3 linked regions of the Saccharomyces cerevisiae S288C genome follow. Changing the gene in region 3 together with the main gene of any one other region gives a genetic interaction. Each region holds a gene or a part of one and is shown on either strand. Other genes may lie near its edges.

What was found. Genes that interact genetically often act in the same process or in processes that back each other up.
Region 1: mutations in DAP1 (region 3) and MGA2 together harm fitness more than expected from each alone (negative genetic interaction), as found in Saccharomyces cerevisiae (2 studies listed by BioGRID).
Region 2: mutations in DAP1 (region 3) and PUN1 together harm fitness more than expected from each alone (negative genetic interaction), as found in Saccharomyces cerevisiae (2 studies listed by BioGRID).

Annotation. Positions count from the first base shown.
Region 1 is NC_001141.2:414,190-422,277, reverse strand, and holds MGA2 (Mga2p), read right to left. Parts: upstream 6,155-8,088; coding exon 2,813-6,154; downstream 1-2,812. Other genes in the region: sepiapterin reductase family protein IRC24, read left to right, coding at 1-204; NRE1 (sepiapterin reductase family protein), read left to right, coding at 488-1,252; LYS1 (saccharopine dehydrogenase (NAD+, L-lysine-forming)), read left to right, coding at 1,542-2,663; DAL3 (ureidoglycolate hydrolase), read left to right, coding at 6,661-7,248; malate synthase DAL7, read left to right, coding at 7,599-8,088.
Region 2 is NC_001144.5:950,541-955,895, reverse strand, and holds PUN1 (Pun1p), read left to right. Parts: upstream 1-1,751; coding exon 1,752-2,543; downstream 2,544-5,355. Other genes in the region: ESCRT-II subunit protein VPS36, read right to left, coding at 1-886; YLR415C (uncharacterized protein), read left to right, coding at 1,299-1,637; INA1 (Ina1p), read right to left, coding at 2,713-4,740. UniProt on the Saccharomyces cerevisiae protein: Contributes to the wild-type cellular response to nitrogen stress through signaling pathways that regulate the expression of genes involved in amino acid biosynthesis. Required for wild-type filamentous growth, cell growth, and cell-cell adhesion.
Region 3 is NC_001148.4:226,539-233,895, reverse strand, and holds DAP1 (Dap1p), read right to left. Parts: upstream 5,583-7,357; coding exon 5,124-5,582; downstream 1-5,123. Other genes in the region: REV3 (DNA-directed DNA polymerase), read left to right, coding at 1-1,303; MRX4 (Mrx4p), read right to left, coding at 1,387-2,679; MEX67 (Mex67p), read left to right, coding at 3,058-4,857; OYE3 (NADPH dehydrogenase), read left to right, coding at 6,525-7,357.

The DNA.
Region 1 (8,088 bases), on a different chromosome or scaffold from region 3:
GATATTAGGGAAACATTGGGTCCTCAGGGCATGACACCCAAGGCTCTCGAGAGGTTTACTCAATTGTACAAGACTTCGTCACTGCTGGACCCAAAGGTGCCTGCGGCGGTACTAGCGCAACTCGTCCTGAAAGGTATTCCCGACTCTTTGAACGGTCAATATCTCCGCTACAACGATGAGCGACTGGGGCCGGTGCAGGGCTAGTACTAAACTATATTATGTAAAAGGGTATAGTTATAGTTTTTAGCTACTAAACTTTTATTGGGTTTGCGATGAGCGACAGTTTTGTGCGGCCATTTCTGTGCCAAGAACCGGATTGAATGTATCACCGAAGGAATTCCGCGGTGTTTTCAAAGAAATGAAGAGAAGACAGTATGAACATTAACTTTTGCATATATATACGTAAACGAAAAAGATCAAGTGCAATGGAAGAATATTGTACCTAAAAAAAAGGGTCTAACTACAGCGTGTAACAGGTTAAAAAAACATGGGTAAAGTTATTTTAGTTACAGGTGTTTCCAGAGGTATCGGTAAGTCCATCGTGGATGTTCTTTTCAGTTTGGACAAGGACACGGTTGTTTACGGTGTAGCCAGGTCTGAGGCACCCTTGAAGAAGTTGAAAGAGAAGTATGGCGACAGGTTTTTTTACGTTGTCGGTGATATTACCGAGGATTCCGTGTTGAAGCAGTTGGTTAACGCTGCTGTTAAGGGCCACGGCAAGATCGACTCCTTGGTTGCCAACGCTGGTGTCCTAGAGCCCGTGCAAAATGTCAACGAGATTGATGTCAACGCTTGGAAGAAGCTGTATGACATCAACTTCTTCAGCATTGTTTCCTTGGTTGGCATTGCGTTACCTGAATTGAAGAAGACCAACGGTAACGTGGTATTCGTCAGTTCGGACGCCTGTAACATGTACTTCAGCAGTTGGGGAGCTTACGGTTCTTCAAAAGCCGCTCTGAACCACTTCGCCATGACTCTGGCCAACGAGGAAAGGCAAGTGAAAGCCATTGCCGTCGCCCCAGGTATTGTGGACACAGATATGCAAGTTAACATTAGGGAGAACGTGGGGCCTTCCTCCATGAGTGCAGAGCAATTGAAGATGTTTAGAGGTTTAAAGGAGAATAACCAGTTGCTGGATAGCTCTGTGCCAGCTACAGTTTATGCCAAATTGGCCCTTCATGGTATTCCTGACGGTGTTAATGGACAGTACTTGAGCTATAATGACCCTGCCTTGGCGGACTTTATGCCTTGAGGATAGCAGGTACATATAAATTGTTACATACTAAGTCGATGAGTCAAAAAAGACTCTTATACATTTATACATTTTGCATTATTATTTTTTTTTTCCAGCGGAATTTGGAATTCCGCTCTCAACCGCCAAAATTCCCCTGCGATTTCAGCGACAAAGAGTCATAAAGTCATCCTCGAGAAACCACGATGAAATATATAAAAAGCCCATCTTCCCTGACGGAAACTGGTATTTTAGGAGGCATACCATAAGATAACAACGAAAACGCTTTATTTTTCACACAACCGCAAAAATGGCTGCCGTCACATTACATCTAAGAGCTGAAACTAAACCCCTAGAGGCACGTGCTGCCTTAACACCTACCACGGTTAAAAAACTGATAGCTAAGGGCTTCAAAATATATGTAGAGGACAGTCCACAATCTACTTTCAATATTAACGAATATCGTCAAGCAGGTGCCATTATAGTGCCTGCAGGTTCATGGAAAACCGCTCCACGCGACAGAATCATTATAGGTTTGAAGGAAATGCCTGAAACCGATACTTTCCCTCTAGTCCACGAACACATCCAGTTTGCTCACTGCTACAAAGACCAAGCTGGGTGGCAAAATGTCCTTATGAGATTTATTAAGGGACACGGTACTCTATATGATTTGGAATTTTTGGAAAATGACCAAGGTAGAAGAGTTGCTGCCTTTGGATTTTACGCTGGGTTCGCAGGTGCAGCCCTTGGTGTAAGAGACTGGGCATTCAAGCAAACGCATTCTGACGATGAAGACTTGCCTGCAGTGTCGCCTTACCCCAATGAAAAGGCATTGGTTAAAGATGTTACCAAAGATTATAAAGAAGCCTTAGCCACCGGAGCCAGAAAGCCAACCGTGTTAATCATTGGTGCGCTAGGAAGATGTGGTTCCGGTGCCATCGATCTGTTGCACAAAGTTGGTATTCCAGATGCTAACATATTAAAATGGGATATCAAAGAAACTTCCCGTGGTGGTCCCTTTGACGAAATTCCACAAGCTGATATTTTTATCAATTGTATATATCTATCGAAGCCAATTGCTCCTTTCACTAACATGGAGAAACTGAATAATCCTAACAGAAGACTAAGGACCGTGGTGGACGTATCAGCAGACACTACCAACCCTCACAACCCCATCCCAATATACACTGTGGCTACTGTGTTTAACAAACCTACCGTTCTGGTACCTACCACTGCCGGGCCTAAATTATCTGTCATCTCTATTGATCACTTGCCTTCTTTGCTGCCAAGAGAAGCTTCAGAATTTTTCTCTCATGATCTCTTACCATCTTTAGAGCTCCTACCTCAAAGAAAAACTGCTCCTGTCTGGGTTAGAGCCAAGAAATTGTTCGATAGACATTGCGCTCGTGTTAAAAGATCTTCAAGATTGTAGTTTACATTTAAAGTATATACATTATCGTTACGCTGACATTTACAAGTTTAATTTTTTTTTGACTTTTTTTAAATGACTTTCTCTTCTTTTAAGTGTACTGTCTTTTCATTATACACACATATATATATATATATACGTAAAAAAGCAGACTAACTGACAATTAAATCGTTCAACATTCTTGTTGTTTGCAGGTTTGATAATTTTGACCTGAATGCAGTTTTCATCCTTTCATTTCCCAGCAAGAACTTTGCTAATGCAATTCTCAAGTACTCTGAGATTAATTCGCTTATATGATTGATGGAACTATCTTGGTTGCCAAATTTGTACATGATGAACCATGTCAAAAGTAGTAGTGTTAAGGGTATCCAGAAAAATATTAACATTTTATCATTTCGGAAGTTTTGTTTGTTTTGGAAGAATCTGTTAAACTGTTTTTTCAAAAATTCTTCCTCTTCCTCATAATCCTCTTCCTCCGAATTTTCAGAGTTTTCAATATTAGATGCTGACTGCTCCACAATACTGTCTTGATTTGTGGTTTTCAATTTATCATCTTTACCCCAAGACAACGGGAACAGATCCTCATATTTTGGTAAGTCATCATTAATTCGATGTAAAACTCTATTCCAGAGAGATGTACTACCATTATCCTCTTCGGGTTCGTTGGCGCTAGATCCAATATCAAGGAGTTCGCTTTGTTCCTCCCTGCATGCAACACCTGGTTTTTCTACTTCGTCAGTGACGAACAGATCTTCATCCCCGTCTTCTTCGAAATCACTTTGGTCGTACTCAGAGTAACTTGAATTCTCAAATAGTTGCAAGGTTGGATGCTGAATCTCCATAGAAGTGGGATTTATCATGCTTTGGCTTTCGAATAAGTTCTCATTCAAAGATTCATTGTCTAGCAGGCTTGAATTGAAACTGGATTGTGAATATTTCCTGCTAATAGAATAATTACTGTCTGTTTCTACACTATCGGTAAACTTCGTACCGTTTTGGAATTCTTCAAACAATGACAATACTTCGCTGATATAAGTGTCATTATGAACAAACTTATGGTTGTCTCTGTTATCTTGTTTTTTGTCTATTTCCTTTGAATGAATGTGGTTTGCTATGAATACTTCTCTTGCAGTTAATCCGTTGTGTGACCTCAGTGAATAATTTACTTTACAATTTAAAAGCATCTTAATAATTTTAGGGTCACCACTTATGCAAGCAAAATGTAATGGAGTTAGCCCAAAGGAATCAATATCGTTAACACGAGCACCCTTTTTAATCAATGTATACACAAGGCTTGAGTAATTTTTCAAACAGGCAAGATGTAATAAAGTTCTCCCTAATGAATCACATATGGAAATATTGGAATTTATGTTCAATGATTTTATAACTTTTTGTATCAAGACTTCATCGGAGTAAAGAACACTTGTGTTCAGATTCATACTGTGTTGGTTTGGAGAGGGACCTGTGCTTTTTGAACAGCTGTTGCCATTTGTACCGCTATCAGGAGAATCATTGCCAACAATCCTCTTCGCGATATTTCTTGCATCTTCTAACTTACCATTCATTTTTAATCCCACAATTTGCAAAGCCAATTCAATCAGTTGCCTATCAGTATCATCAACATAGGTAAATATGGCCTTTTTATTGTCATTGATCTCAATTTCTTGGGGAAGGTCATCGTTATTATTTTCATTATTCGTATCAGTAATAGAGACGAAAACTTGACCCGCGTAGGCAGCGGGAGGGAGATAAGTGACGATCGTGGTCTCACTCCAGCATTGCGTAGAAAGGGCAAGATTAGAGCCGAACTTTACAGAAAGACCATCTTTGAAGTTACAACCCAGTAATGTAACTTCGATACCACCATTGATTGGGCCTTGTGAAGGTATAACGCGATTAATTGATGGCAAATTATTGTTGTTGTTTTTCATTGAGAAATCTTGCATTGAATGTAAAGCTGGATTCATCGTATTTGTTGCACTGATTGAATTTGAAAAGGAATGCTTGAATAGGGGTTTACCAATGTCATTTTCCAAATTATTGCGTGCTCTTTTCCGTTGGTTCAATTGACTCTGTTGTTCAATATTTGTCAAAGAGATAGTACGGACGGGATTGTCATTATCGCGATGATGATAGTTAAATGATTCTGAGCCTTCTTCGCTCATAGATGTTGGTGATGGAATATGCTGATTGGGCAGAGAAAGGTTCAGTGATAAGTTATTGTTCTGAAGCAAATCTGTCTGTTGAGAGATGGAATATGGGAATGGTACGTTTTTGTCTTTCAGTGGAATATTATTCATTTGACTGTCATTATCATATGGGTTGTGTTGATAAGTATATTGAAATGGCATATTTTCGTCTTTGCTCAATTGGTTGTTATCCGTTGAATAATATTCTGTGGTAGATTCTTCTTCCGTTAGCTGCCTTCTGGACGAGGTAGTAGTGTTATTAAACTTGGTGGTATCCATATTTGCTGGTTTTCTATCCGTGATCATAATAGGTGTTGTCGTAAACTTACCCAACAGTCTATTTTGCCAATCTGTTATAGTGAATAATATGACAAAGCCATTATTTGCCTTATGGTGCCTGCAATAACAAACTAGCCTGGTAGTTAATTCAAACTCCTTAACATTATCGAAAGTTTTCATTATGGGGAAAACCTGTTTGTTATTGAACACGACTAACCTTCTATTAATATTATTACACCAGAGTAAATTGTCTGCAATACCTGATTTCCTTCTAGCGGCTCTTCTTTGTTCTCGCTTAACACACTTGGTACAAACATTTGTCGTTCTGTTGCTGACCGCACATAGAACAAACGCATTGATGTACAGAAGATTTTTCTTGAAGTCTTCTGAAAAATCCTCGATATTTTTTTTTAAATAAAACTTTTCTCTTGAAATGGAATCGCTAGGCAAGTAAAGCATGCTTTGGTTTAGTGGTGTTTCAGACGTAATTTTCACTTTCAGTTTCAGTTGATTTTCCACTCTAGATACTTGTGGCAAACCTGAGACCTCTACATCCAAAGGTAGCTGCGCTGCGTTCACTTTAAGGTAATCTAAAGGATTTATGTAAACAGATTGAATCGTCTCCTTTCTTCCAAATACAATCTCGTCATGAGCAGGGTTGCCTATATTTTTTTCATTAAAAACCTTATTTTCATGCTCGTCCTCTTCTTCCTCCTTCAAGGCTCTGTTACTTTCCATTTCCTCCTCCAGTGGAGTGGACACGTTTTGGTTGACATGAGTATTGTTACCGATACCTTCGAAAGACAACAGGTTGGGCGAATCACCCTCATCTGTCTTGATAAAATTTTGGAAATTAGCACCCTCATCAATATTAATATGCGCCATGCTATCATCCTGGTACATGGGAGACCCGTTCAGGAGGAAATCGTCCAAGAGCTGTGATTCCATTACGCTATTCGCGTGCAATTGAGATATATGAGGGTCGCTTCCAGGTGTTTCCGTTAAGAACTCACTGTTCTGCTGCATAACGAAATGTTCTGTTCGCCAAAATGACCTTCAATAAGTGCCTTTAAATGCACAATAAGGGGGGGAAGCAGGATCTAGTCTTAACGACCCCAAGAACGACTGTTGATCAAGCGCCGCTGTCCTTTTAAAAGGCTTTCGGCGGCTGTATTTTCTGGTTTAGAGCTCACCCATTTGAAAATGTTGAGTTTTTTGTCATGATCCACGATATAAAAAGAAATACGACATTTCTAGGGTAACATCAGAATGCCCTTGCTTTTATTGTTAGGGTTATTTTCAAAAGTAGAATTTTGGAAATAAGTCCTAGCCTTTTTGTAACACTAACCCTGAGACAAAGTGCCAGATAAGATAAGATGGATTGGCAAATAAATGGGGAAAGATAAGCGAGGTAAGACTGATAAGAAGCATATGCGGTCTATTCATGTGCATTCGCATATATAAGTCAGTAACTGTCATCCAATCGCTCTTGATGCTTATCTTGTAGGGCAAAAAATCTTTGAAGCAAAGATATGGTGACCGTGGTGGCGGAGACATTGACGAAAGAGTCCTTCGAGGAGTATGGGACGATAATTTCGCCAGATGAAGAGATTTCAAGGATGCAAAACCTTGAAAAAGGTGCAAACCAGGGAACAGCGATCAAATTGCTTCAAGTAAGCCAGGTAGAGAATAAATCTACCAGTAAAGTTCCCAATTGGAACCTATTCCGTTGCTTTCCACAGCCGCACCTGAATAGAGTATTCACTCAAGGCTCCAATCAGGCGATTTCTCATTCTATCAAAGTCCTCGAAAAGCATCCGTGTAGTACGCAGACGTTTGTGCCTATGGGGAGAACGTCAGCGGAAGTAGCATACTTGGTAGTAGTCGCTAAAGAAATTGGAAATAAGCCAGACTTGTCTACGTTGAGGGCTTTTACATGTTTGGGTAATCAGGCCGTTACCTATGGCTTAGGTACCTGGCATGCGCCCATGATAGTACTTGGCAAGGAAGAACATTTGGATTTTTCAGTCTTAATCTACGAAAGTCTGGACCCTGACAGGCCCGAGAAGGACTGTGTGGAAGAACACTACAGCGATGGCGACGTTTGTATTATCATCTAATTCTGCGACTGTGGGCGAAGTAAATATGTAAATGTTCATGTATTAGTAATTTCATAGGTTTACGATTATCGACATAAAATCTCCGCTGAAAGTTGCGGTGCGATAGAATACCGCGGATTTTGGAAAATTGCGTTTGCTTTTCTTATCACATAAATTGAATTTCATAAGTTTTGGCTTATCTTGGATAAGGTACATCGTGAAAGTATCACAAAGATTGGATAGTTTCGTCAATTGGTGAAGCAATAAGTATAAAATGGGGACATTTACGCATGTAGTCTTAATTCTTCACTTTCTGTGCAGTTGATATCACTTAGAGTATGTGTCATAGGCACGGTAAAGAGCACTGAACAATGGTGAAGATAAGCTTGGACAACACTGCTCTATACGCAGACATCGACACGACTCCTCAATTTGAACCTTCCAAAACTACTGTAGCTGATATTTTAACAAAAGATGCCTTAGAGTTCATTGTTTTGCTGCATAGAACTTTCAATTCAACACGGAAACAGCTTTTAGCCAACAGAAGCAATTTACAATCAAAGTTAGACTCTGGTGAATACCGATTTGATTTCTTGCCGGAAACCGAACAAATCAGGAACGATCCTACATGGCAAGGTGCTATCCCAGCCCCTGGTTTGATCAACAGATCCAGCGAGATTACTGGGCCACCATTGAGAAATATGTTAGTCAACGCTTTGAATGCTGAAGTAACGACATATATGACTGATTTCGAGGACTCTTCATCTCCAACTTGGGAGAACATGATTTACGGACAAGTTAATCTTTATGATGCCATTAGAAATCAAATCGATTTCAAGACACCAAGAAAGGAGTACAGGT
Region 2 (5,355 bases), on a different chromosome or scaffold from region 3:
TTACAGAAACCACATTCTGATTGAAAATATGCTTATTCTTTTCAGTGAGTATATTCTCCAAAGCCCTCTCTGTAGCTTGTGAAAACAATACGCCATCAGATTTGCGGAAACTCAATTGCACGAATTCTGTCGATGATCCTGTCGAGGACGAGGACGATAATGCCGAGTGCGAGCTCTTGTTTCTAGCCAGTGAATTTTTTTCTAGCTCAATATGGACCCTAGAATCATGAAAGTTTAGCCTGTTCAGCTTTGATCGTACTTTGGATGCATTAGGCAATCTGTGGCCGCAAATCTCGCAATTTCCTATTTGAGGATGATTAGCAAAAGTACAGGCGGGGCAAATGTTCTCAGAGTTCACTCCGAACTGATTCTGTGGGTTGGCGTTCGGGTCGATTGCATTAGAACAATTTATAGACGACTTGGTGAGCTCATAGTCCGCTGGCACACCGCAATTGATACAAATGGGTGTAGGTAGAGTGTCTTTAGTGAATTCCCCCTGCGTTTCGTTCGAAACCATACAGATGGGGCAGACCCACGTCGAAACAACGTCGGCACTTGCTGTTTCCGCACTTTTACCAAGTTCATCCTTACTGGAGGGGTCCTTGAAAAACAGGATCAGACGAGGTGATCTGGTCAAGAAGCCAGATGAATAGTTTACATACGCTAGATCGTCCAATTCCAACCCAAGCGAGTTCTGAGTGGGCTTTGCATCGTCGATGTAGATAATTCTTTGTGACGTTAAAAAGATTCTGCCCCTCTGTCGCTGTAGAATCTTAGATTTGCCATGGTAAAGACCTACGGACTGATCGATAAAGATATCTTTTTCACCTTCTCGAAGAAGAGGTTGGCCCGATGACGTAGTTTCCACATAATGCCAGTACTCCATCTTTTGAAAAAAAAAGAATGACTTTCAAAACACACTTCCTGATTCCTAGCCGAGGTCCCCTATTCTATCTTGGATGACCTTTTCTCTGCTTTTTTGTTTTTCAGTCTCCATCTTTTCCAGATGAAACATGTGAAACCCTTTTTCCTCTTCGTTGATCCTAAAAAAAGCGCGTCTGGAAAACAAGGCGAAGCTTCCTCACATGGAAAAGGCTTCTTAATATGTCGCTACGCCTCATTCCCATTGCATACAGAAAGCAAAGTAGTGCGTTTTGCGAACGTCACAGATCAAAAGTTTGGCCATGCATTGTCATTCTTTTTTTCTTACATACACTGCACCAGACATGTCGGTTCCGCCCCGCTAACGGTTAGTCAGCCACACATTGACGTACACTGTGAACAGCCTATTTCTTTCCATGTATCTCAGTGCCCAGCTTATGAGAACTGTCACAGCCTCCCACTTGACCCTCAGAGCCCTCTCCACTCCCCCCCTCTTTCAACATCGCCAGATAGCCGCCGTTGAATGGTGCGGGACAACCCGGCCTGGCCTGGCCAGGCAAAAAAGGACGCAGCACGCCTCGAGCGTTATTTCCAAATCGGGCGTACTATCAGCCAAGCCCAGCTCGGTATTTTTAGCGCTTCTCGCAGGAAAATTGGCTGAGAAGTATATATACGCGAGAATGTTGCTCTTCCATGTCTCAGTAGTCAATGAGTGTCCAGTGGTGTTTCATTCTGGACCAGTTGTTTGGAAGTAGAACTAAAAGAAACTAGATCAAGATCATACAACGCTGCGCAGTAGTGAAACTTGATTAAAGCAATAGAGAACTATTAAGAAAAAAACAAACACATCATCGAAGGACGCTATAAGCATGAGGAATTTTTTCACGTTATTTTTTGCAGCTATATTTTCGCTAGGAGCACTTATATTAGCCATTGTTGCATGCGCAGGATCAACGAAAAATTACAGTCCCATAAATAAAATTTACTGTGCAGAATTGGATCTGTCGCAGATGAAGGTATCGACGGTGCTCCCTTCTTTGAGTTCTGCTACGCTATCTTCGTTGGGCCTGCCCTCATATATAAATATAGGGCTTTGGTCGTACTGTACAGTGGACTCCTCGCATAACATCCAATCATGTTCTTCGCCTCACGGTATCCAGAATTTTAACCTATCGTCATTAGTGTATGACAATATCAACAACAATGAGGCTCTGGAGCTTATGGATTCCGTGGCCAGTGTTGTTTTGCCCGAAAAACTAAAAAGTAAAATGACATACTACAACAATTTGGTCAAGTGTATGTTCATTACCATTCTTATTGGTATTGTCTTGACCTTTGTGAATCTAGTGTTCAACGTATTGCGCTGGATCATCCACATAAGGCCGCTAACGTGGTTTGGTGCCTTTTTTTCATTTTTCGCCTTTGCCGCCCTATTAGTCAGTATAGGTTCGTGTTTGGGCACTTACTCATACATCAAATACATCCTAAAGCATAACTATAGTGATTACGGTATTTCAATGAGCATTGGTAGGAACTACCAGGGTTTGATGTGGGGGGCTGTCGTTGGAGCATTACTGAATTTCATTCTATGGTGTAGCGTGAGATCGAGGCCCACCGTCATCTATGCGAACGCTCCAATTGAGGAAAAACCATTGATTTGAATTTGAAAAAGGCAAGGTTATTAATTAATTTTTGTGTTCCGTTTCATATTAAATATGATTAAAATATATTGTCTATATACAATTCAGAAAATTATAATGAAGAAAATTAAAAGGATGGAGAATTGAAAAAATTTACGGGGTGATGTTGCATGATCTTCTTTTTATTATTTTACCTTGCAAAGTTTTTTTCAGCATCAATGGGGCTTTCGTGTTCTTCAATGATTCTTGAGGTAGTAGAGTCACTTTCTTGAACAGCTTTCTCAGCTTCCACGATGGCAGCTCCCTTTCTGCTGCTCCACCAGCAGTATGCAATGCAGAGAAATACAAGGACGGCAAATACAAATCCAGACCACATTAGGCCATAAAATGGAGAAGAGCCAGAAATAATGACATCGTAATTGTCCTTCTTGGAGCCGGATTTCATCATATTAAGGATGACGCTAAAGATTGTGCTTCCCAACCCGCTGAAAATACATATCCAACAGGAAATAAAGCCCAATGCCAACCATAATTTTTGACTCACCACGGAACGTCTACTTAGTAGCAACAAGAATACCATTAAGAAGAAGGATGTGATTATGCACATTAAGTTCATAGCTAAAGCTGCTTTCACTGCTGGGACATACATGTGTTGTCTGTCTTGTAATTCACCATCTAAATGCAAATCGTCCTTACCGATGTTCAGGGCATCCATATAAGGTTTAAAGTCCGAGCCTTCAATGTTGTTGTAAACAATCGACCGGAAATCCATGTTTTGAACAGCGTGTGACTTGCTACACGAGTACATTGTTCTGTTTAAGTGAGCACGACACATTGTGAAAATGGACAAACGGTATATGACAGGGATGTGTAGATATTCAAGGATAGAAGGAGTCATTTCCTTGAGTTGTTCTGGTGTGATAGTTGTCATGTTTACAGCAGAGTTTAAAATTTTCAACATGGGCATAAATGTAGCGGCATTAGTTTCTGCCCATTTGGTGATATTAACCAGAGAAGAGAAACTTGACACGGGGTCGCTTGACGCAGCTAATAGGCTGAACAAGTATGGAACGTACTTAAGTAATACGGTGTTATTGGCCAATTGGGATTCCAAAGTAGGGATTATGGAAACAACTGTGGATGCGTTAGCACTTGCAGAAAGGATTTCATCAAGTGCCACCAATTGGTTAGTAGAGGAAGCGGCTTCTTTAGAGAGGGCCAAACTTTCGACAGATGTTAGCAGCTCTGTTTGGTTTGTAGTGTAATTCAACAAGTCAGTCAAAGCACCCATGGCAGCTTTAGCGGAAGATGATTGGGTAATGTTTTCGGCAATCATAGTGCTCAATACGGATAATGTTACATTTTGAGATGTAGTTTCATCAAACAGAGTAACAACAGCTTGGACAGCTGGTTTTAAACTCGAAGGAACGAGGGAGCCTAATTGCATAATAGTTTCAGTAGCATTGCCACCTTCCGCAAGACTGGTTTTTAGACTAGAAAACAATGAGGAGACCGTTGAAGTTGGAATGGTAGAGTTCATTATGGTTTCTAACGCATCGCATGTGGCAGTAATGTTCTTGGAACTTGCGAATAACTCGAATACAGGCGACAATTTTGTCTTTTCTTCTGTGGTCATATTATTTAAAGTGATCAAAGACTCAGTAGTGCCTATAGGATTGGTCGAATCCACTAATAGGGTTAGAACAGTATTTTCTAAGGAAGCCGAAGTAGAAGAAGTGTTGGTTGACATAGATGACATCAATGTGCTAAACCCATCCAAGAGTTCGGTTGTGTTTTTAGAGGTAGTCAATAACTCATCAAGAGCGGAGAAGGTCGTGGTAGTAGCGGTATTGGTTCCTAGCAAAGCCATTGGAGCCAACTGTGTCAAAGATGATAATGTGGCTGAAGTGTTAGCAGCATTAGACAACAAGTGCAGTAAAGGAGACAAGGCTTCGGTAGAAGCGATTGCCTTAAGAGCGCCGAAGATGGTATCCACCGTTGTATTTGGAGCGGTTAGAGCAGAACCTAACACAGTCAAAATTGGGCCAACTTGTGGCATAACTTTTGTAACGTTGATTTTTGATATATCAGCATCACCGATATAAATGTTCGTTATTGGCTTATAATTTGAGGTAGAACCCGCAGTTGCAATAATGGTCAACAGAAATGTTGTAAGTGTCAATAAAGCACAAATCGGGAGGAGTATTTTAAAATTCATCGCAATAATTTGACTGTATTACTGAATTTTTATTTTACTGTATCAGCATCGCATCTACAAGCTATTATGAAGTAAATGAAAATCTCAAGGCTTAATGTGAGTAAATGCAGCTAGATTGTCAAAGGTTTATATATTTTGTCGTTCTTTTTACAGGAAAAAAAAATTCTGTGTAGAAGTGTAAGATCTATGATTGCAGCAGCTTGAAAAGCGATAAGTTTGTTGAGGATTTAACAATTTCAACTTTTTTTTTAAGCAGAACAATAGATTGACGTAGTTAAATTTGTCTACTAAGATCTGTAGGCAAGTTTTTTTTTTCCAGGGACGACGCCGTATAGAAAAAAGCAACTAGGGAATTTACCAGGCCATAATGCGGTGGATTCAAGCTAAACGAGTACTGAGGGGAACTTTAATCTTCAAGGCGGTATCCAGGCGGATTTACGAAGCAACTGACGGAGTGCTGCAGGAATTTAAAGGAGAGTTCTGGAGCGCTTAAATGCACCTAAACAGTATCCACGGAACATACTGTACTAAATACACGTCAAACGGGAACATTTCAAAAAAAACTTAATAATATAACTCAGTTTTTTTACATAGTGATAAAAGTGATATATTCAA
Region 3 (7,357 bases):
CACTACCCTAAAAAGGCTTTTGAATAACAAACAGTTAGCACTAAAATTATTGGCGAATGTCACCTACGGTTATACATCAGCTTCATTTTCTGGACGAATGCCATGCTCTGATTTAGCTGATAGCATTGTACAAACAGGCAGAGAAACATTGGAGAAAGCAATAGATATTATTGAGAAAGATGAAACTTGGAACGCCAAAGTTGTCTATGGAGACACAGATAGTTTATTTGTATATCTACCTGGAAAAACTGCTATTGAGGCTTTTTCTATAGGACATGCTATGGCAGAAAGAGTTACTCAAAACAATCCAAAACCAATCTTTTTGAAGTTTGAAAAAGTATACCATCCCTCCATATTAATTAGCAAAAAAAGGTACGTAGGATTTTCCTATGAAAGTCCTTCGCAGACCCTTCCTATTTTTGATGCTAAGGGTATTGAAACTGTTAGAAGGGATGGTATCCCAGCCCAGCAGAAGATTATTGAAAAATGTATTCGATTACTTTTTCAAACCAAAGACCTGTCAAAAATAAAAAAGTATCTTCAAAATGAATTTTTTAAGATTCAAATAGGAAAGGTATCTGCCCAAGATTTTTGTTTTGCAAAAGAAGTTAAATTAGGAGCGTATAAAAGCGAAAAGACAGCCCCTGCAGGTGCCGTGGTTGTAAAAAGAAGAATAAATGAAGACCATAGAGCAGAACCCCAATACAAGGAGCGTATACCTTACCTTGTTGTTAAAGGAAAGCAAGGACAACTGCTTCGGGAAAGATGCGTATCACCAGAAGAGTTCTTAGAAGGTGAGAATTTAGAGTTAGATTCGGAGTATTATATAAACAAAATTCTGATACCTCCTCTTGATAGATTGTTCAATTTGATTGGTATAAATGTTGGCAACTGGGCTCAGGAAATAGTAAAATCCAAAAGGGCGAGCACAACTACTACAAAAGTGGAAAACATAACAAGAGTAGGAACTTCTGCAACATGTTGTAATTGTGGTGAAGAATTGACTAAAATATGTTCACTTCAGTTATGTGATGACTGTTTAGAGAAAAGAAGCACCACAACCTTATCATTTCTCATAAAGAAATTAAAGAGACAAAAAGAATACCAAACACTAAAGACCGTGTGCAGGACGTGCAGTTATCGTTACACTTCCGATGCAGGCATCGAAAATGACCATATAGCTAGTAAATGCAATTCATATGACTGTCCAGTATTTTACTCTCGTGTCAAAGCAGAAAGATACTTGAGAGATAATCAATCTGTTCAAAGGGAAGAAGCATTAATATCTCTAAATGATTGGTAATCTAGACACAGATATGTCTCGCAAAATGATGAGTAGTTATTTGTTTCTATGTATAACGTTGTTATATACAAGAAAGAAAAAAATCATTTCTTTGATTCTTGACGTTGAGATAGACGGTATCTATAATATGCAAAAAAGGAGGCCAGCAATGCTGAGAGTGAAATAAGGAATCTCTTTGAATTAGTGAAAGACTTTTGAGGAATCTTCGTATCCTCTAAGAGTGGATTGCTACTTTGAAAAACTACAATTTTATTATTATCGTATAAGTTCCCCACACATTTCCAACCTTTTAATTCGATCTCATTAATTTCGTTCAAAACTCTATCTGGTGGGGACCCAGATGCATTAATAACGCCAAATAAGTCCGTAAAATTGATGTTAAAGACACTGTGATCAAAGTTGTTTGACAGGGTCATATCCTTATTGTTTTCTAATGAGTGTAACAATATGTTATTCCCTTGAAGTACTTTTTTAGTAGTTTTACTCTTTTTTCCTCCTCCGTTTGAACCTAAAAATACACTTATTCCATTTTGTAAACGTTTCCATAAGCGATTGGGTTCCCTTTTGAATAAGATATTTCCAGCTGATAAGGGTACTATTTCGGAGAAGGATTGAGTATTCCATTGATATATACGAGCTTGATTCTTTTTTTGTTTATCGATGGCACTTTTTTGACGTGCCTTCTTTTCAATATTTTGTAGATAGCGTTTTAGGGAGTTTATATCGATATCTACGTGGTTTTGTTGCGAGGCACCCACTGAAGTCCTGCTTTCCTCATTTTTCTGTAAGTAAAGTGATATTTTCTGATAAACCTCCTCATCATTACACATATCTAAGTTCAAAGAGTGTAGAAGTTCCTTAATATGCATCTTCCTGCTCGGGTGAAGATCCATATTCTCTGCTTTTCGATTTCTTAGTTCAACTTTCTTCTTTTCTTCCTGCGGTGTTATGTCTCGAGGAATAGCAACATTGACAGGACCGGCTGCCAGGTTCATTCCTTCTAATATGTCTTTGTCTGTTAATCGATGTGTTAGTAATAATTTGTTAAGAATTTGCACGTTAGTTTGGAGAGGATTTATCGCGTTCTTCTTACCTTCTCCTTTATATCCGCGCACTAGACTTGTTATGAGATTAATTTCCATTGCAGAAAACTTGGTCTTACCTTTGCCCATGGCAGACTGGTATATTGTGTTTTTGAAGGCCTTTATACGCACTGAATCAGGAGTTTTTGAGTCAAATATATTAAATACATTCCGTCCTCCAAATTTTGCACCTCCACTTCTTGCATGAGATACTGTTCGTACGCAATTCATGCCCATGTTGAATGCCAAGCACTTCATTTTTTTCAGCGATGCAGATGTGTATAAAACTGTCATTTTGAACAGTACTTCCTCCTTCCTTTAAGTTGAATGGAACCAAGTTTATTCCACCAAAGCTCAGAAAAGAAGCAAAGAACAGAAAATTTCTACGAATATTAATTCTGAAGAAACTTAAACGCGGCTTCAAAAGCTAGAAATCCATGCCCACTTGCCTTTCGTAGAGGATTCTAACGATAAATATACCTACAGATTATACTGTTATATAAGATCATCATTACCCGTCTTCCTTTTTTTTCCAGAAGAAAATTTCAGTAAGAGCTGAATTGAGTATGTAGAAAAAAAAATAGTAACAGACTGTTGAAGACATACTTACTCTAAGAAGGAAGAGTAAAATAAATCGTTAAAAATTCTGCATCGCTAATAGCAGCAAAAAAAATGAGCGGATTTCACAATGTTGGAAATATCAATATGATGGCTCAACAGCAGATGCAACAAAATAGAATAAAGATTAGCGTGAGGAACTGGCAGAATGCAACCATGAACGATTTGATTAATTTTATAAGCCGCAACGCTCGAGTAGCTGTTTATGACGCTCATGTGGAAGGACCTTTAGTTATTGGATATGTCAACTCAAAGGCAGAAGCAGAATCGTTAATGAAATGGAACGGTGTCCGGTTTGCAGGCAGTAATTTAAAGTTCGAACTTTTAGATAACAATGGGGCCTCTGCGGGAACTTCAGACACCATTTCGTTCTTGAGGGGGGTGCTCCTTAAGAGGTATGACCCACAAACAAAATTACTAAATTTGGGCGCTTTACATTCAGATCCCGAGCTAATTCAAAAGGGCGTCTTTAGTTCCATCTCCACCCAGTCTAAGATGTTTCCAGCAATGATGAAACTGGCTTCTACAGAAAAAAGTTTGATAGTGGAAAGTGTCAATCTTGCTGACAACCAACTTAAGGACATCTCAGCAATTTCCACATTGGCTCAAACATTTCCTAATTTGAAAAACCTCTGTCTGGCCAACAATCAGATTTTTAGATTTAGATCGCTAGAAGTTTGGAAGAACAAATTCAAAGATCTAAGAGAGCTTTTGATGACAAATAACCCGATAACCACCGATAAGTTGTATCGCACTGAAATGTTAAGATTATTTCCGAAATTGGTTGTACTAGATAACGTGATTGTGAGAGACGAACAAAAATTGCAAACCGTTTACTCATTACCGATGAAGATTCAACAGTTTTTTTTCGAAAACGATGCATTAGGGCAATCATCTACAGACTTTGCAACTAACTTTTTGAATCTATGGGATAATAATAGAGAACAACTGTTAAATTTGTATTCGCCCCAATCCCAGTTTTCTGTTTCCGTGGATTCTACTATTCCTCCATCTACGGTAACAGATTCGGACCAAACTCCAGCATTTGGTTATTACATGTCGTCCTCACGTAATATATCCAAAGTGTCCAGTGAAAAATCTATCCAGCAGAGATTGTCAATCGGGCAAGAGTCCATTAATAGTATATTCAAGACTTTGCCGAAAACAAAGCACCATTTACAAGAACAACCCAATGAATACTCAATGGAAACAATTAGTTATCCTCAAATAAATGGGTTCGTTATTACGTTGCACGGATTTTTTGAAGAGACTGGCAAGCCTGAACTGGAATCCAATAAAAAAACGGGGAAAAATAACTATCAAAAGAATAGAAGATACAATCATGGTTACAACTCCACATCAAATAATAAGTTATCCAAAAAATCCTTTGATAGAACCTGGGTAATTGTTCCAATGAATAATAGTGTCATAATCGCATCTGATCTGTTAACTGTAAGAGCGTATTCCACAGGCGCTTGGAAAACTGCATCTATTGCAATAGCACAGCCTCCACAGCAACAGGCCTCGGTCCTACCACAGGTCGCAAGCATGAACCCAAATATAACGACACCACCGCAGCCACAACCTTCAGTGGTACCAGGAGGGATGAGCATTCCCGGCGCACCCCAAGGAGCCATGGTCATGGCTCCCACTTTGCAACTACCTCCAGATGTCCAGTCGCGGCTAAATCCCGTACAACTCGAGCTGCTGAATAAACTACATTTGGAAACGAAATTGAATGCAGAATACACGTTTATGTTGGCCGAGCAAAGTAACTGGAACTATGAAGTTGCCATAAAGGGTTTTCAGAGTAGCATGAATGGCATCCCTAGAGAAGCATTTGTGCAGTTCTAATGATATTGTTCCCTGTTTCAGCCGCACAGTATCACAAAAAATATACAGTTTAAGCTACTGTTTTCGTCACGTTCCGAACAGCAGCATGCTTTGTATATTTTGTACTAATTCATAAATAAGTAATTATTTCTATACAACCGTTATATAGAAGATTTTTTCAAAATATAGATATGTATATGTATACATATATCATCGTCCACCACGCCCCTTCCTTTTTCCCTTTCCTTGGTGTTTGCTATTAATAAATAATGTGCGGAGCTCAATCGTCATACGTTCACGCCAGGCTCCGGAATCAGAGTACCAATGCATGGGTACTTATTCTCAAAATGCTCTTGCCACTCATCCAGTGCGTCAATCTGTTCTTTTGTCAGATCATCTAAGGGATCGATAGGCTGATCCCAATCTTTAATAACGTCCAGATCGAAGGAGTTCAATGCAAGACCACGCGACGCATCATGGCCTGCAAAGTTAGTGTATGGCCCGCTTGGACCGTAAAACTGCCTCCCTCTTGTGCAGTCGTATACTTTGCCCCTAATAGCAATAAATATTTTTTCATCGTCGTGGCCGTTAAATTTGGAAAGCGTCCTAGGAAAGAAATTACCCGCTACTACCGGTTCACTACCTTTATTAGAATCGTTTGTGTTTGAGGCCCCGTTACCTGTGAGCCCGGTTGGATCCTCACTTGTTTTAACACCTCCAAATAACAAGTTTTTAATGAAGGACATTTGTTCTCTATAATATTCCGATGTACGTGTGTGTGGCTGATGAGATTTAGACTGGTTAGACTATTTGACGCGTCTATTATAGCTTACTGCAACAAGAAAATGATCGTTGATATATAAACTCTCAGATGTATATATCGTTCTGGAAACATCGAGCATAATACAATACAATTCAACAAAAATGCGAGAAGGCACTGATGTCTTGTCGTTAAAGAACCAAAAACGCGGACACTACGACCGTCTTATTTCCGGTAGAAAAAGGGTACATACAGTTGAAGGAACGAAGAAAATTAAAATTAGAAAAAAAAGTAAAATAAAACAAGGAAGGTAGGGTAATATGGTCTCGTTTCCTTTGTCGCTCCGCAAATAAAGGAGCTTATTCCCGCACGCTCACATGGTAATTTGCGCCAAATCACGGATGTGGAAAACTGATCACGTGCTTCGATCGCCAACTACTGAGCGTCGTCCCACACTGATCTGGCACAGCTTACCTCGCCTTGAAAATTTTAATCTGTCCTGCTCGTTTGTTGTATATTGCTTCTTCTCAGAATATGCCCGCGATAACTGACAAAGAGGGTTCGACGTTTCAGAGATTCTACTCTTGACCACTGTTTCGTGTAGCCGCTCAAGGTTTATTTCTTTCTTCTTTAATGTTCTTGGCACTTAGGCGGCTCCGTCCTCCGTCTGAAATTGCCGATCCTATTATTTGCGGAGGGCTCCTTAGAAGGGCTCCTTAGTAAGCAGTTTGCGTTCCTGATATAACTCCGTTCAGAACAAGGATAAAGTCGCAATAACCATTACTAAGCACAGTGTTGTAAGTAGGACAACTCGAACCTATATAAGGGTTGTGAACTGTGCTTGATTCTTGCCCATCATATGCAAAAAAGTACGTACTTGATATATACAACAACTGTAGTTCAGTATAGCGAAGTTTAAATTTAGAAGATGCCATTTGTAAAAGGTTTTGAGCCGATCTCCCTAAGAGACACAAACCTTTTTGAACCAATTAAGATTGGTAACACTCAGCTTGCACATCGTGCGGTTATGCCCCCATTGACCAGAATGAGGGCCACTCACCCCGGAAATATTCCAAATAAGGAGTGGGCTGCTGTGTATTATGGTCAGCGTGCTCAAAGACCTGGTACCATGATCATCACGGAAGGTACGTTTATTTCCCCTCAAGCCGGCGGCTATGACAACGCCCCTGGGATTTGGTCTGATGAGCAGGTCGCTGAGTGGAAGAATATCTTTTTAGCCATCCATGATTGTCAGTCGTTCGCGTGGGTACAACTTTGGTCTTTAGGCTGGGCATCCTTCCCAGACGTATTGGCAAGAGACGGGTTACGCTATGACTGTGCATCTGACAGAGTGTATATGAATGCTACGTTACAAGAAAAGGCCAAAGATGCGAATAATCTCGAACATAGTTTGACTAAAGACGACATTAAACAGTATATCAAGGATTACATCCATGCGGCTAAGAATTCTATCGCGGCTGGCGCCGATGGTGTAGAAATTCATAGCGCCAATGGGTACTTGTTGAATCAGTTCTTGGATCCACATTCTAATAAGAGGACCGACGAATACGGCGGAACGATCGAAAACAGGGCCCGCTTTACACTGGAGGTTGTCGATGCTCTTATCGAAACTATCGGTCCTGAACGGGTGGGTTTGAGGTTGTCGCCGTACGGCACTTTTAACAGTATGTCTGGGGGTGCTGAACCAGGTATTATCGCTCAATATTCGTATGTTTTGGGTGAATTAGAGAAGAGGGCAAA